3 linked regions of the Oryzias latipes genome follow. The main gene of each other region encodes a partner of the protein of the gene in region 3 in a complex. Links are inferred from orthologs where the notes say so. Each region holds a gene or a part of one and is shown on either strand. Other genes may lie near its edges.

Region 1 (3,810 bases), about 23 Mb from region 3:
ATGCATTTTTACAAATTCCAGTCTGGCTCTTTCATGATTTCCTTTAAACAGTGGTGTCCTCCTTGGTCGTCTCCCATGAAGTCCACTCTGGCTCAAACAACCATGAATGGTGCGATCTGACAATGATGTACCTTGATCTAGGAGTTCAACTTTAATGTCTTTAATTTTCAATAAATTTTAATTTGTTACTTTTGAACGTTTCAAGTCATTTCAGTGAGCATTGTGGACTTTCTTTCTTTAACTGAGGGGTACCAACAATGTTGTCCACCACTGTATGTCATTGAGAAGCTGGTAGGGAAAATCCAAAAACCATTTGAGTTGACTGAAGCCTGAAGCAGTTTTCTGCCTGACAACAGCCCTTCATCAAAGGAGGAAATTCCCTATGAAGCATTGGTGACAAAGCCTCATGCAGGTGGAGTGGACCAGGAGGATCATCCAGAAAAAAAGCCGCTTTCTCACGTGGACAAACGCTTCCACAGTCAGAAACTGAAGCTCAGAGGTCAACACGTCTGCAAAGTTCTTTATTCCAAGTTCATGACAGCCATTCTTCCTATTCTAAGAACAATCACAGCTCTTCTGCCTCTGCTAAGGACAGCAGTGCTCTGGAGGAGTGTCTGTGAGGAAGACTCTGCTGCTGCTGAGGCTGAGGAACCAGCTCAGCATCGCAGTGCTCTATGAGGGAGGAAGGTGGCAGCAGGTGACCAAACCTGCTGCCCGCTCTGGGAGCATCCAAAGGTGGAAAGAAATACCTGAAGCAAGAACGGACGGACAGGCAGAGGAAGGGAAACAGAGTCGAAAAATACAGACAGGGAAGAACAAAATGAGGAGTGCACAAGGGAGGACATGAAACAGGAAGTAGAATAAAAAATTAAACTGAGAAATGAAGTATGTCTGCAACAGAAACTAAACAGGAAGTAATGTCAGGTGGGCCGGAACGAGACTTTTATTCTTTAAAAAACCACCCTAATAAAACCAGTGTGAAGCATCAGACAACCTGTCAATCAGGGAATCAAACCTAGCTACTGTTCATGCATGTGGTTGTTGTGCACTAAAAGTAATGTCAGTGAACCCCAGACATTCCTTCTGTGGGCAAACAGCTATTCACCAGATCATTAGTAATATGCAGGAGTCTGGTCTATCTTTGAGGAGGTCAGCGGCCGCAGGGGAGGAGCAAACGGAGCTCTCCTGCCAATCCTGCATGCAACAAGCAACACAACAGCAAATTACCTTCAAGACGCTCTGCTCACACACACACACACACACACCCACACACACCACACACACACACACACACACACACACACACCCACACACACCACACACACACACACACACACACACACATCACTGGACACAAGGTGAGTCTGTGACAGAGAGGGCGCAGCACCCACAGCTGTTATTCTGGTTAAAGGCCAGGCAGGACGTCCGGCCGTTAGCCCAGGATTATTTACCCGAGCACAAATACAGCCACGCATCCAATCTGAAAAACCCCAGACCCCCCATTAATCCTTTGTGCATCTGCCACGCTTTTATTTGTGAGCATTCTGCTGAGGAGCATGAGCAGCTGCTGCCAGCAGAGCTGTGGATGGCAGGACGAGCCCTCAATCCCAACTTCCCCGGGACTTTTCACAAGAGACGGAAATGAAGGTGGTTTGAGATTTGTTGATCAGGAACTCCCTTGGTGTTGGGCTCAACATGTTCCATAACGAGAGCTTAGTTTCCACGGTGGAGGTGGCTGTATTTATCCTCACATTTCAGTGTTACGGGTTATTAAGGTTCATTCAAGCTTCTCCCCTCAGCAAGGAGTTTGGCTACAGCTGCACCAGGATGCTGAGACTCAACGCCGCGTCTCACAGCCGCTACGTACATTTTGCATGTTTTCCATGTATGACCTTTCGGTCTTTCATGATACATGCGTGATAATCCGAACTCATGTTTCTTGCGTTTGTTGTTCATCAATGTGCGCAGATGTCCGTCGAGGGTGTCGGCTGACGGGCCTTTACGTGAATTTGGTTTTAAGCTGTTCAAAATTTTCAGACAGTTCAGAGTTATGCAGTTTCTGCAATCGTGCAAGATTTTTGCGAAATGCGTTCGCGAATTTGTGTCCACATAATGGACTTTTCAAGCATTAGCAGTGATGTATTTTTATATCACGTTTTTTAATTGACGCACAAATCATTAAAAAATTACATATGAAAAGCACAATCATCACACCCTTGCGCTATCTTGTGGGGTCCAGATGACCCCACTCTTGTGGGGTCATCTGGACCCCACAAGATAGCACAAGGGTTAAATTGATTTTTGTGGTGTTTGCTTGGTCTTCACAAGAAACAACATTCCCCTGAAAAAAGTGGAGCACATTGCAAACTGACAGGAGTTTTATTTCGATTTTTACAGCTGAACACCCGTTAGTCCTTTCATACAACAGAGGGAACATTGGCCCTCTTATGCCATACAGCAATAAACAAAAAACAAAAAAAAACCCTCCCAGCACAGAAAGATGTCGACAGCCAAGCTCTTTACAGGAGGCGCGGTCGGTGTGAGTCCAAATGGCAGGTTCAGTTGTTTCAGTGGCAGCTCCGGGTCAGTGTGAGCCCACACGAAGCAGTCAGGCTTTAACGAGGGGGTGTGGCCGCAGATGCACCACGCCACCTACCTTCCTGCTGATATCCCATTCAGAGCATTCTGGGAGAGGAGGGAAGAGCCCACCATGGTGCTGATGGGCTGACCTGAAGACGCGCTCAGCGGGCTGCCGTCTCCCCTTAGGATGCCGGTGCACTTCCAGTTGTCCATGTAGTTTGCTGCAGAGCATTCATGCAGAGGACAGCTTAGGGAAGAACTGCGGACACCTTCAATACACCAAAAGCTGCATTCACCTCAAACACGATTCACACATGAAGGGCATCCAGTTCAATGCCAATATACAGTCCTGATCTGAGGTCCTACAGTGCCACATGAGCATCTGGAATGTTACATCGATCTGGCGGCAGCATAAATTTGGGTGTGATGAGGCATCAAAAATCTAAAGCGAAGAATTCACGCCATGTCAACCAATCAGGGGCTCAGCTTTGGCACATGACGTGTTAATGTCAGCAAGTGGAGCCTAAAACCAACATGGAGGAGAATCTCATCGGTCTCCTCCTGAACTTTATATTTTTCTTTTTACTTTTAAGACAATAACAGAAATGTCCTCTAGTTTGATTAATGCTGGACAGCAAGTGGTCAAACTGGGTCACAGAGAGGTGGAAGAACCGCTGAAAGCAGCAGGCATTCAGACGCAGCTCCTGCAGTAGACGGTGAAGCTCTACGTACTGGAGGAGTCTCTGAATGATCCGATAAACCCAGACATGGAGATGTGATTACTAGGGGTTGACGGAAAATTTATTTAGCGATACGTCGCGATATTTCATTTGGCGATATTTGTATCGATTCAAAATGCTGTCCAGGACGACATTTTTTTTACCGTACTTTCACGACCATAAAGTGGACTTAAAAGTCTCACATTTTCTCCAAACTATAGGGGCGCACTATGAGGCGGTGCGCCTAATGCGTAGCTGTGAGGCGTAGAAGAAGACGGGGAGGGAAGTAGGGGTTTGAACAATATTGTGTAGTGACCTAACTGGAGCTTCACTCTGTATGCGGTGGTAACGACTGAGCTGCCAATCTACTGGCTGCGTTGAGAAGCTGTACATACACTTCCCAACCCCAAACAATTCAAGTCGAGTCGAGGAGCGGTGAAATCCATGTTTACTTCAGCGTGGGCAGTACTGATCCGTTACAGTGATCCCTCGCTATAACACGGTTTACTTT
Region 2 (3,500 bases), on a different chromosome or scaffold from region 3:
AAGGAACTGACCACGCAGGATCCCCGCTCAGTGATTTGTTTTTTTTTGTTTTTTTAACTTGTCCTGTCCAACAGCTAGGCAGGCAGATGAGAGCTGAGGGCCTCTTGTGTTGGAAATATTTTACTTTAACAAGAGGGGTTATTAATCTTCAGACAAACCAAAGGTATGTCTGAATAAACCCCTTTTGTAATTGAGGCCAAACTTTATTAATTTCAATCATGTTTGAAAATCTTTGGTGTTGGACCGGACGGAAAAGGAAAGAGGGGAAGAAGAGAGAGGGACGTCAGAGAGAGGGGGGGGGTAGGGGGTGATAATAGGGGGGAGGGGGGGTAAGACCATGAAGCAGCATAAAGCAACAAGTTTACTGGTTGTTTATCATTACGGTACGGTTCAAATGTAGTACAAAAAGGGCGGGGCCTGTCCACACACACACTCAAATGTTATCAACACACCTGCTTGCTGCAAAAATGTCCACCTGTCGACAAGTCAACATGTACACAAAACAGACAGTGCCCGCACGCACACCCATGCCCCAAAACCAACTAGTGTGAAACACCTCACCCATTCCATCACGCAAACCACTAGTGCAAAGGCGAGCCAACACCCGCGCCCAGGCGAGCGCCCACGCTCCTCCAAAATGGATGGTGGAATGCGAAAAGAAGGAGGGAGAGCCCCGCTCAGTTATAATTGCAGGCCTGCAGTTGTAAAATGCTGGGTCGCTCGGGTAGTATTGCGCCTCCGCGGTTGTAAGGTTCACTCAATCACTTCCTGAATACGCCCGCTCAGTTGTCTTTACGCCCTTTTACTTTATGGCAGAGATGAAACGCCATACACACCGTCACAGCTCTATTCCAAACAGTGCCTGTGATGCGGCAGTAACACGGCAGCAATAAGGGAGTAACAGCACTAACAGGGCTGGTTAAACAAACATACCGGTAAAAGTCACTGAGAGCAGCAGTAACTTATACGGGTCTGCACGGCACGCGCCTTCTGTGCACTAAAACCATGGAAGTCTTCCTCCTCAGTGTAGGATTGGAACTTTAACTTGAAAATAAGCCGCAGGGTTGAAAGCGTGTGACAAAAATAGCGGTTTATAATCCGGAAATTATGATAAATATGTCAGAATGGTCGCTTAATGTGTGTATTTTTACTGGATGTTCGAAAAAAATAAATAAATGTTTTGAATTACCACCCATTTTTAAAACAGCAGACCAGAGTCAGCAAAACAACAAATAATGTCACTTGAAACTATGTCACACTCAAACTTTTTTATGTCAACTTCCTGGTTAACTTCAGCAGTAAACAAAACAAACATTGTTGATTTGGGCCTTTGACAAGAAATCCTGAACATGCTTTCATGACATTTTGTATTCTATTTTTATTCTAATCTATTTAATCCATTTTATTCTCTGAACATATTTCAGTAAACTGAACCTCGGTCTTCATCCACACTTAATAAGAGATTTATTTACTTCCCGTGTTTAGTTTATGTCTTTAAAATCCAACATTATTCTCCATTTTGGAGTGATAATTACATAGCATTAAGTGCCTTTCTACAACACTCCATTAGATCAAACTTCTCTTTTTTTTCAGCTAAAACCGATGCGTTTCAGTGGTAAGGCCCTCAGATTAGAGTCATTTCAAGACAACGTTGTGGGCAGAAGATGCCAGTTGTGACGGAGAACACCTTCAGAAACCACAATCAGAAAAAGGAAACCAACCATCCATCACGTAAGAATCATTAAAAGACCTTTTACTGAAGCAGTGTAGACTCCAGCAACCTACTTTTTTATGTCGACTGGATTGTGTTAAAAACAGAATGATAACAATAATAATAATTTATTTATAATGCAGCTTTCATTAAACATTACCTCAAAGTGCTACAACAAGATGTGAGAAAAAAAAGAACACTAAATAAAAATTAGCCAACTAAACAAAGCTAACTAAAAGCTAAAAAACTAGCACTTAACAATAAGGGTGTGACGGTAACCGCATCACCGTGGTGATGTTTGCTTTTTAATTTTTTTTTTTTTTTTAGTTCTGCATATGGTGCGTGATTGGAACTATAATCAACACATTTAACACATTCATCTTTGCTGATAATTCACTTTTTCTACTAGTCCTATGTGTTCAGACTTCAAAGGTTTCTGGGGGAAACTTTTCATTACTGTTCTCCTTCACTCCGTAACACCAAACATGAACACGCACTGTTAGAGTGCGATAAACATCACTACATGTTTTGTTTGGAAACTATTTTGTGCAGCGCAACGTTACGTGTCCGTATAAACAAAGGCGGAGCCTCCTGCCCCGCCTTCTTCATGGGTGTCAGGCTCACGGCTACTGGAAAGGTGACAAAGTGTCTGCTGTTTGGTATATTACTGGGCAATATATAATATTCTGAGAAGATGTCTGTACCAGAGAGCACAGGTGAAGCCTCGCGTGCAGCTGGAGAGCGATCCGCTGCAGAAGAATCAACACGCACCCCCAACACACTTGTGTGCGCTCCTTCCTCCAACACACGCAGCACGCTGACACACATACACAGTCATTGTACAACACCTATATGGTTAGTTCATTAGGTAGATAGGTAGTAGTGAGTTGTTACTGTTGTTTGTTAATAAAGAATACTGCGTTGTAATTGTATTCATTTGCGACGCGGCCACCGGGGGATTTTGTGTTTGGCGGTTAATCGCGACACCGCGCCCCCTGCTGGTTCATCACATCAAAAATCCCACACCGTCACAGCTCTACTTATTAAAGAGATGCCTTCAAAAGAGCTTTAAAAGAGTTCAGGGTCTGCGATGTTCTGAGATGTAAAGGAATGGAATCATTAAGACGGTGATGAAGCATGAAGAAATGTGTGTTTGGTTTTATCTTTTGGCACTCCCTTAATCATCCAGATGGTTTTAAATTCCTGCGGTGAGTGTAAAGGAGTTTCTCCTGTTGAACGGCAAAGGTACAGGAGTGGCGGTTTGATGGAAACTCACCAAAACGTGGTCGAAGCTGAAGGTACTGATGTAATAGGCAGAGATGTCGCCGTCAGCGAGAGGCTGCGATATCTGGGCGACGATGCCGCATTCATCTGGAAAGATAACACAAAATGAAGGAAAACGATGTCAGAAGAACTGAAATGAAACCATTTTCTTTACTTGAATAATCCATAAGGCAAACAAATATGGATATTGCACAGCTTGATAAATTTGTGATATATTGTGCAGGCCTAAAGGTTTCAAAGAATGCAGGCTGGAAGGTTGGCCCTCAGAACAAAGTCCAGACATCTACAGGCAACAACAGGTCGGTGGAAACCCAGAGAGCTCAGAGTGGAAGACGAGGACTTTCTTACCAAAACCAAGTGGCTGTCCTCCGATCCGGACCATTCTCCAAAGCTCCCCGGAGGAGCTGGTGAACAGAAGATCAGAAGGAAACCTAGAGGAATGAGAGAGAGAAGCTCCACTTCAATCAAATACAATTGATCATGAAATAGTAGAGGTAGAAACACC
Region 3 (4,009 bases):
AAATGATCTTTCCTTTATTTTTTTTACTTTAGAGTCGACGTTCTTGAACCCATAACTGAGGGAGAAGGTGTCTGAGATGCTGCAGAAGCTGCTCCCGTTCAGCCTTTTGTTCTTCACATGGATGAGAACTGGAGCTGCAGCTGCAAAGCATTGTGGGACAGTATTTCTGTTGCTTGAGGAGATAATAAAGGAATCATTGAAACTCTGTTAATATTTGATGGAGCTCCAGCAGCTCGTTTTATGGGATCTTTGCAGACACTCCCAGGGTAGTTTCTTCAATTTGGAGCCTTCAGAGATGAAAACGACTCAAACATCAAACACAGATGATGATCTGAAGGAGGTCACCCGTCTTTGGCAATTCCTGGAGAACCATAAAAGCAGACCCTGAGGCTAAAAGCAGCCCTGAAGCACCTCCACCATGTCTTTTCATAAGTCTTCACTGTTAGTTTGTCTGCAGATGTGACAGAGCGTCACAAAATCATCAAATCAAATCATCTAGCACCATCTCATCCTCTCAAATGCATCCTCCTCACTCTTTATATCCATCCACCTTCTTCCCTTCTGGCAGCTCCATCCTTTTACCAACATCATCCCTGTTCCTCCTCCTCCTCGATGTGTTCAGACCTCCACCTTCAGCTCCACTGTCCTACAGAACATCTTGTGGATGTCCTGCACAACTTCTGCTAACCTTTTTCTCCTCACAAACTCCTGAACTCTCCTCATTCCAGCACAGTCTCCTCATCTGCGTTCCTCATTCCAGATGAAACGAGTCTCCATGATGTCTTTAGCTGGAGCTGCTGGGTCTTCTGGGAGAAGCTCCCAATCTTTTAGCACGGTCCTCCACCATCTGTCCTCCTGCATTCCTGTCCTGAACTCCAAACTTCATCACTTCCTTCATCCAGATTTCTCATCACTCTCTCCTCTCTCTAGAAACCCTGGATATTTATTGGAATTGTAAAAATATTTTCTTTTATAACTTATTTTTAATTTTAACTTTTTATGTTAATTTTAGTTCATTATTATGCATTTGCTTTTAAATATTTACTTTATTTTTTTTGCGTCCACGGAGACTAAGATTATAAATCTGCTTCTATTTATGTTTTAAAGTAATTGTGATTTGTCTCCTGAGTTCTTATCTTTCGTTTCTGTGACTCCTGCGCCCTCTAGTGGTAGTTTCTATGTCCAGCAACCCGTAGTGGAATGTTACACCGCCGACAGCTGTTGCTACACGGACATATTTTGGTGTAACACACAACATCCTTGTGCTCCTCCAAAGTTGTGAGTGTGCGACATGTGGTTTTCCAGCCGAACCTCGTTCGTGTGTTTAAACCTGCTGAGAGTAAGTACCGTCTGCGTCCTTAGAGAATCATTTCCTATGAAATATGTCGGAGATTTAGATTTAATAACAAAATAAAAACCTTTCCGTTGGATCTGTTAACATTAGCATTAGCTTGGTGAGATTAGCATGTCAACAAACTTTCTGATTTTTGAGTGAACAATTCTAAAACGCATTTTGTTCGTAGTTTACTGCGACTTTTTTAAACAAAATAAATGACAGAAGTTGTTTGGTTTGATATTAGTTTTAAAGTAATGACATATAACTAGAGGAATTCGCACGTTTGGAGTGAATTTCTCACATAAGATAAAATGTGTGTTTTATTATACGGAACCATGAGCTAGAAACGCGTTTTTTCTGCTTGTGAAATAAAAACCATCCTGGTTTTTTAAATGTTCCTTTGCTCCTGAAAGTCTCTCCTTCTGTGATTAAAACGTCAAACAGATTAGATTGGAACCTTAAATGGATTTTAGGACAAACAGGGTTTGATGTTTGTAACCTGACTTCACATTTATTCAAGGTTTTTATGAAAGCATGACGTGAATTTTCCTTGAAATTCACAGGAAAAATCTAGAATATAAGTTTTGTTTTGCTTTAAGTGAAAAGAATCTGCCACTGAAACGTATTTGGGAAGATTTCTGAAAATAAGCTGCAATGATTTTCTCTTTTAAGACAAAATACAATCTGTCATGCACTCATATTTAGGCTTCTTGGTCTGGAAATTGGAAATATTATGTCTTAAAGAGACCTGAAAGTTTTTTTTTTTACTATCCTTAAAGTAGGTACATTTATACACTTAATAACCCAATTAAATATAACCCATTCAACTCTTAGAGGTGTAATCATTAATCAACTTGTCCAAACCAATTGATCTGTCTGAGACAATTTGTTAATCGATTCAACCTAAACTACATTAAAATTGAGATAAATCGACCTGTAATCAACATTGGAAAATACCATTTAGATTGAGAGGAAGTAGGTTTATTTGACTTTAAGGTAAAAACAGTGGAAAACACACGTGACGTCAATAACACGGATCATTCAATGTGTGGACAGACTTTGAATAAAGTCATGTGACCATCCAGTGTCTAGAATGTTCTAAGAATGTTCCCTTTGGATTCTTTGGATGTGGAAAAACAACAGTGGTGAACTTTAGGAAACTAACATGTGAATGGATTTGACATTCATTCTAGTTTACTGGTTGGTTTGGACACAGATTTCATTCACACTTGAAGAAATCCAAAGAATCTGGAGAACTGTTCAGTAGCAGGAATTTCTTACTGCTGGAAGTTTTAAAGACGACCTGGATCCGTTTTACGTCAGAGAATCGGATCGTTGTTAAACGCCTTTCATTAATCCTCATTTCTAGACCGTGATCGTCCTAAATTAAGACTAGAATCGCACACTAAGACAACTTTGTCTTTAAAAATGTTGTGTGTCACAGTTTCCCCAAATCAAGCAGGTTAATCTCTTTTAAATGAGATCATCACAAATAAAACTTCTGCTTAAAATATGATGTAGGAGTTAAAAATCTATTTGTATTTCAGAAAAAGAAAAGTTTTAAAGATCAATGGACTGAAGATTTATTGACTTTTAACAGGTTGTTACTGAGAAGTTAGTGAGTTTTGTCTTCCATCAAGTGTCAAAAGAGATTTAAGCCTGAAACTCAACTAAAATACTTGATTATGGGATTTTACAGCGTAGACGTTTCTAAATGTTTTTATGGTCTCGGGCCTTCAGACGGATGAGTCCTGGTGGACCCTGAGGTCCTCTGATTCAGGCCTTTTGGATTCCCCAAAAGTTAGAACTGAAACACACGGCGAGGCCTCATTCAGTTATTATGGGTTTGTGGAACAAACTCCCAGCATGCCTCAGGGCTGCAGAGACTGTTCAGGTTTTTAACAGTTTCCTTTTTTAGGTCAGTTTTATTTATGTTTTACTTATTTATTTATTTTAATGTATTTATTGACAGTTACCATTTTATATCTGTCTATTAAGGTTTATTTATTTACTTATTTGGTTATTTCACTTTGACATTCAAGTAGTATTTTTTTTTTAAACGCACAGTCCTGAATTCGCCGCCCATCTGCGGCGTTTTGAACGAGTACATCTCTCATTTTCGGACCATCCCTCCTCTGTCCAGTTTTCGTGGTGGAATCCATCACTTTGGTTTCTGGTCGGTGGCGTTTGCGTTCGTGGAGGTAAAACCTTCTGTCGTTTTTCAGGTTGGGGAGAACAGACGAGTCTTCTAGCTGCACCATGAGCGGCTCAAAGCCGGACATCCTGTGGTCGCCGCACCACCCGGACCGCTACGTCATCTGTGACTCCGAGCTGGGCCTGTACCGGATCGGGCCTGTTTGCAGCGCCGAGACGAAGCCCGGCTCGCTGCCCCTGTCGGAGGAAACCGCCGCCACGCTGCTGGCCATCAACTCCGACACCCCCTACATGAAATGTGTGGCCTGGTACCCCAAGCAGGAGCCCGAGTGTCTGCTGGCTGTGGGTCAAGCCAACGGCAGAGTCGTGCTCACCAGTTTGGGTCAGAGCCACAACGCCGCCTGCAAGGAGCTGGTGGGGAAGGAGTTCGTGCCCAAACACGCCCGTCAGTGCAACACTTTGGCCTGGAACCCGGTGGACAGCAACCTGCTGGCCGCGGGGCTGGACAAGCACCGGGCC

The links.
Region 1: the proteins of mios (region 3) and seh1l are in contact, whole or in part, in a cryo-EM structure (PDB 7UHY), measured with the Homo sapiens proteins. The link is inferred for Oryzias latipes from reciprocal best matches to the Homo sapiens genes MIOS and SEH1L. Residues at the interface, in NP_001357005.1 of Homo sapiens: Arg279, Arg316, Ser317, Phe353, Glu354, Arg355, Ile356, Ser357, Leu358, Ala359, Trp360, Pro362, Leu366, Met367, Trp368, Ala369, Cys370, Gly371, Arg372, Leu374, Tyr375, Glu376, Cys377, Thr378, Glu379, Glu380, Glu387, Asp389, Ile390, Ala391; in NP_112493.2 of Homo sapiens: Met1, Phe2, Val3, Ala4, Arg5, Ser6, Ile7, Ala9, His11, Lys12, Asp13, Leu14, Ile15, His16, Asp17, Val18, Phe20, Phe22, His23, Gly24, Arg25, Met27, Trp47, Ser173, Ser174, Ser175, Asn230, Leu231, Gly232, Arg233.
Region 2: the proteins of mios (region 3) and cytosolic arginine sensor for mTORC1 subunit 1 are in contact, whole or in part, in a cryo-EM structure (PDB 9LVK), measured with the Homo sapiens proteins. The link is inferred for Oryzias latipes from reciprocal best matches to the Homo sapiens genes MIOS and CASTOR1. Residues at the interface, in NP_001357005.1 of Homo sapiens: Ala83, Asn84, Val109, Pro110, Lys111, His112, Ala113, Arg114, Asp134, Lys135, His136, Arg137, Asn184; in NP_001032755.1 of Homo sapiens: Val94, Ser116, Thr117, Tyr118, Gln119, Thr120, Asp121, Thr188, Tyr236, Leu255, Thr256, Ser257, Ser258, Ala295, Tyr296.

The regions. Positions count from the first base shown.
Region 1 is NC_019874.2:7,228,450-7,232,259, reverse strand, and holds the end of seh1l (nucleoporin SEH1), read right to left. Parts: intron 2,802-3,810; coding exon 2,657-2,801; intron 1,195-2,656; coding exon of another isoform or gene 1,113-1,194; exon of another isoform or gene 756-1,112; intron 750-755; coding exon 566-749; 3' UTR 501-565; downstream 1-500. UniProt on the Homo sapiens protein: Component of the Nup107-160 subcomplex of the nuclear pore complex (NPC). The Nup107-160 subcomplex is required for the assembly of a functional NPC.
Region 2 is NC_019867.2:3,167,677-3,171,176, forward strand, and holds part of cytosolic arginine sensor for mTORC1 subunit 1, read right to left. Parts: intron 3,427-3,500; coding exon 3,344-3,426; intron 3,083-3,343; coding exon 2,988-3,082; intron 1-2,987. UniProt on the Homo sapiens protein: Functions as an intracellular arginine sensor within the amino acid-sensing branch of the TORC1 signaling pathway. As a homodimer or a heterodimer with CASTOR2, binds and inhibits the GATOR subcomplex GATOR2 and thereby mTORC1.
Region 3 is NC_019874.2:30,578,522-30,582,530, forward strand, and holds the start of mios (GATOR complex protein MIOS), read left to right. Parts: upstream 1-1,209; 5' UTR 1,210-1,339; intron 1,340-3,561; 5' UTR 3,562-3,595; coding exon 3,596-4,009. UniProt on the Homo sapiens protein: As a component of the GATOR2 complex, functions as an activator of the amino acid-sensing branch of the mTORC1 signaling pathway. The GATOR2 complex indirectly activates mTORC1 through the inhibition of the GATOR1 subcomplex.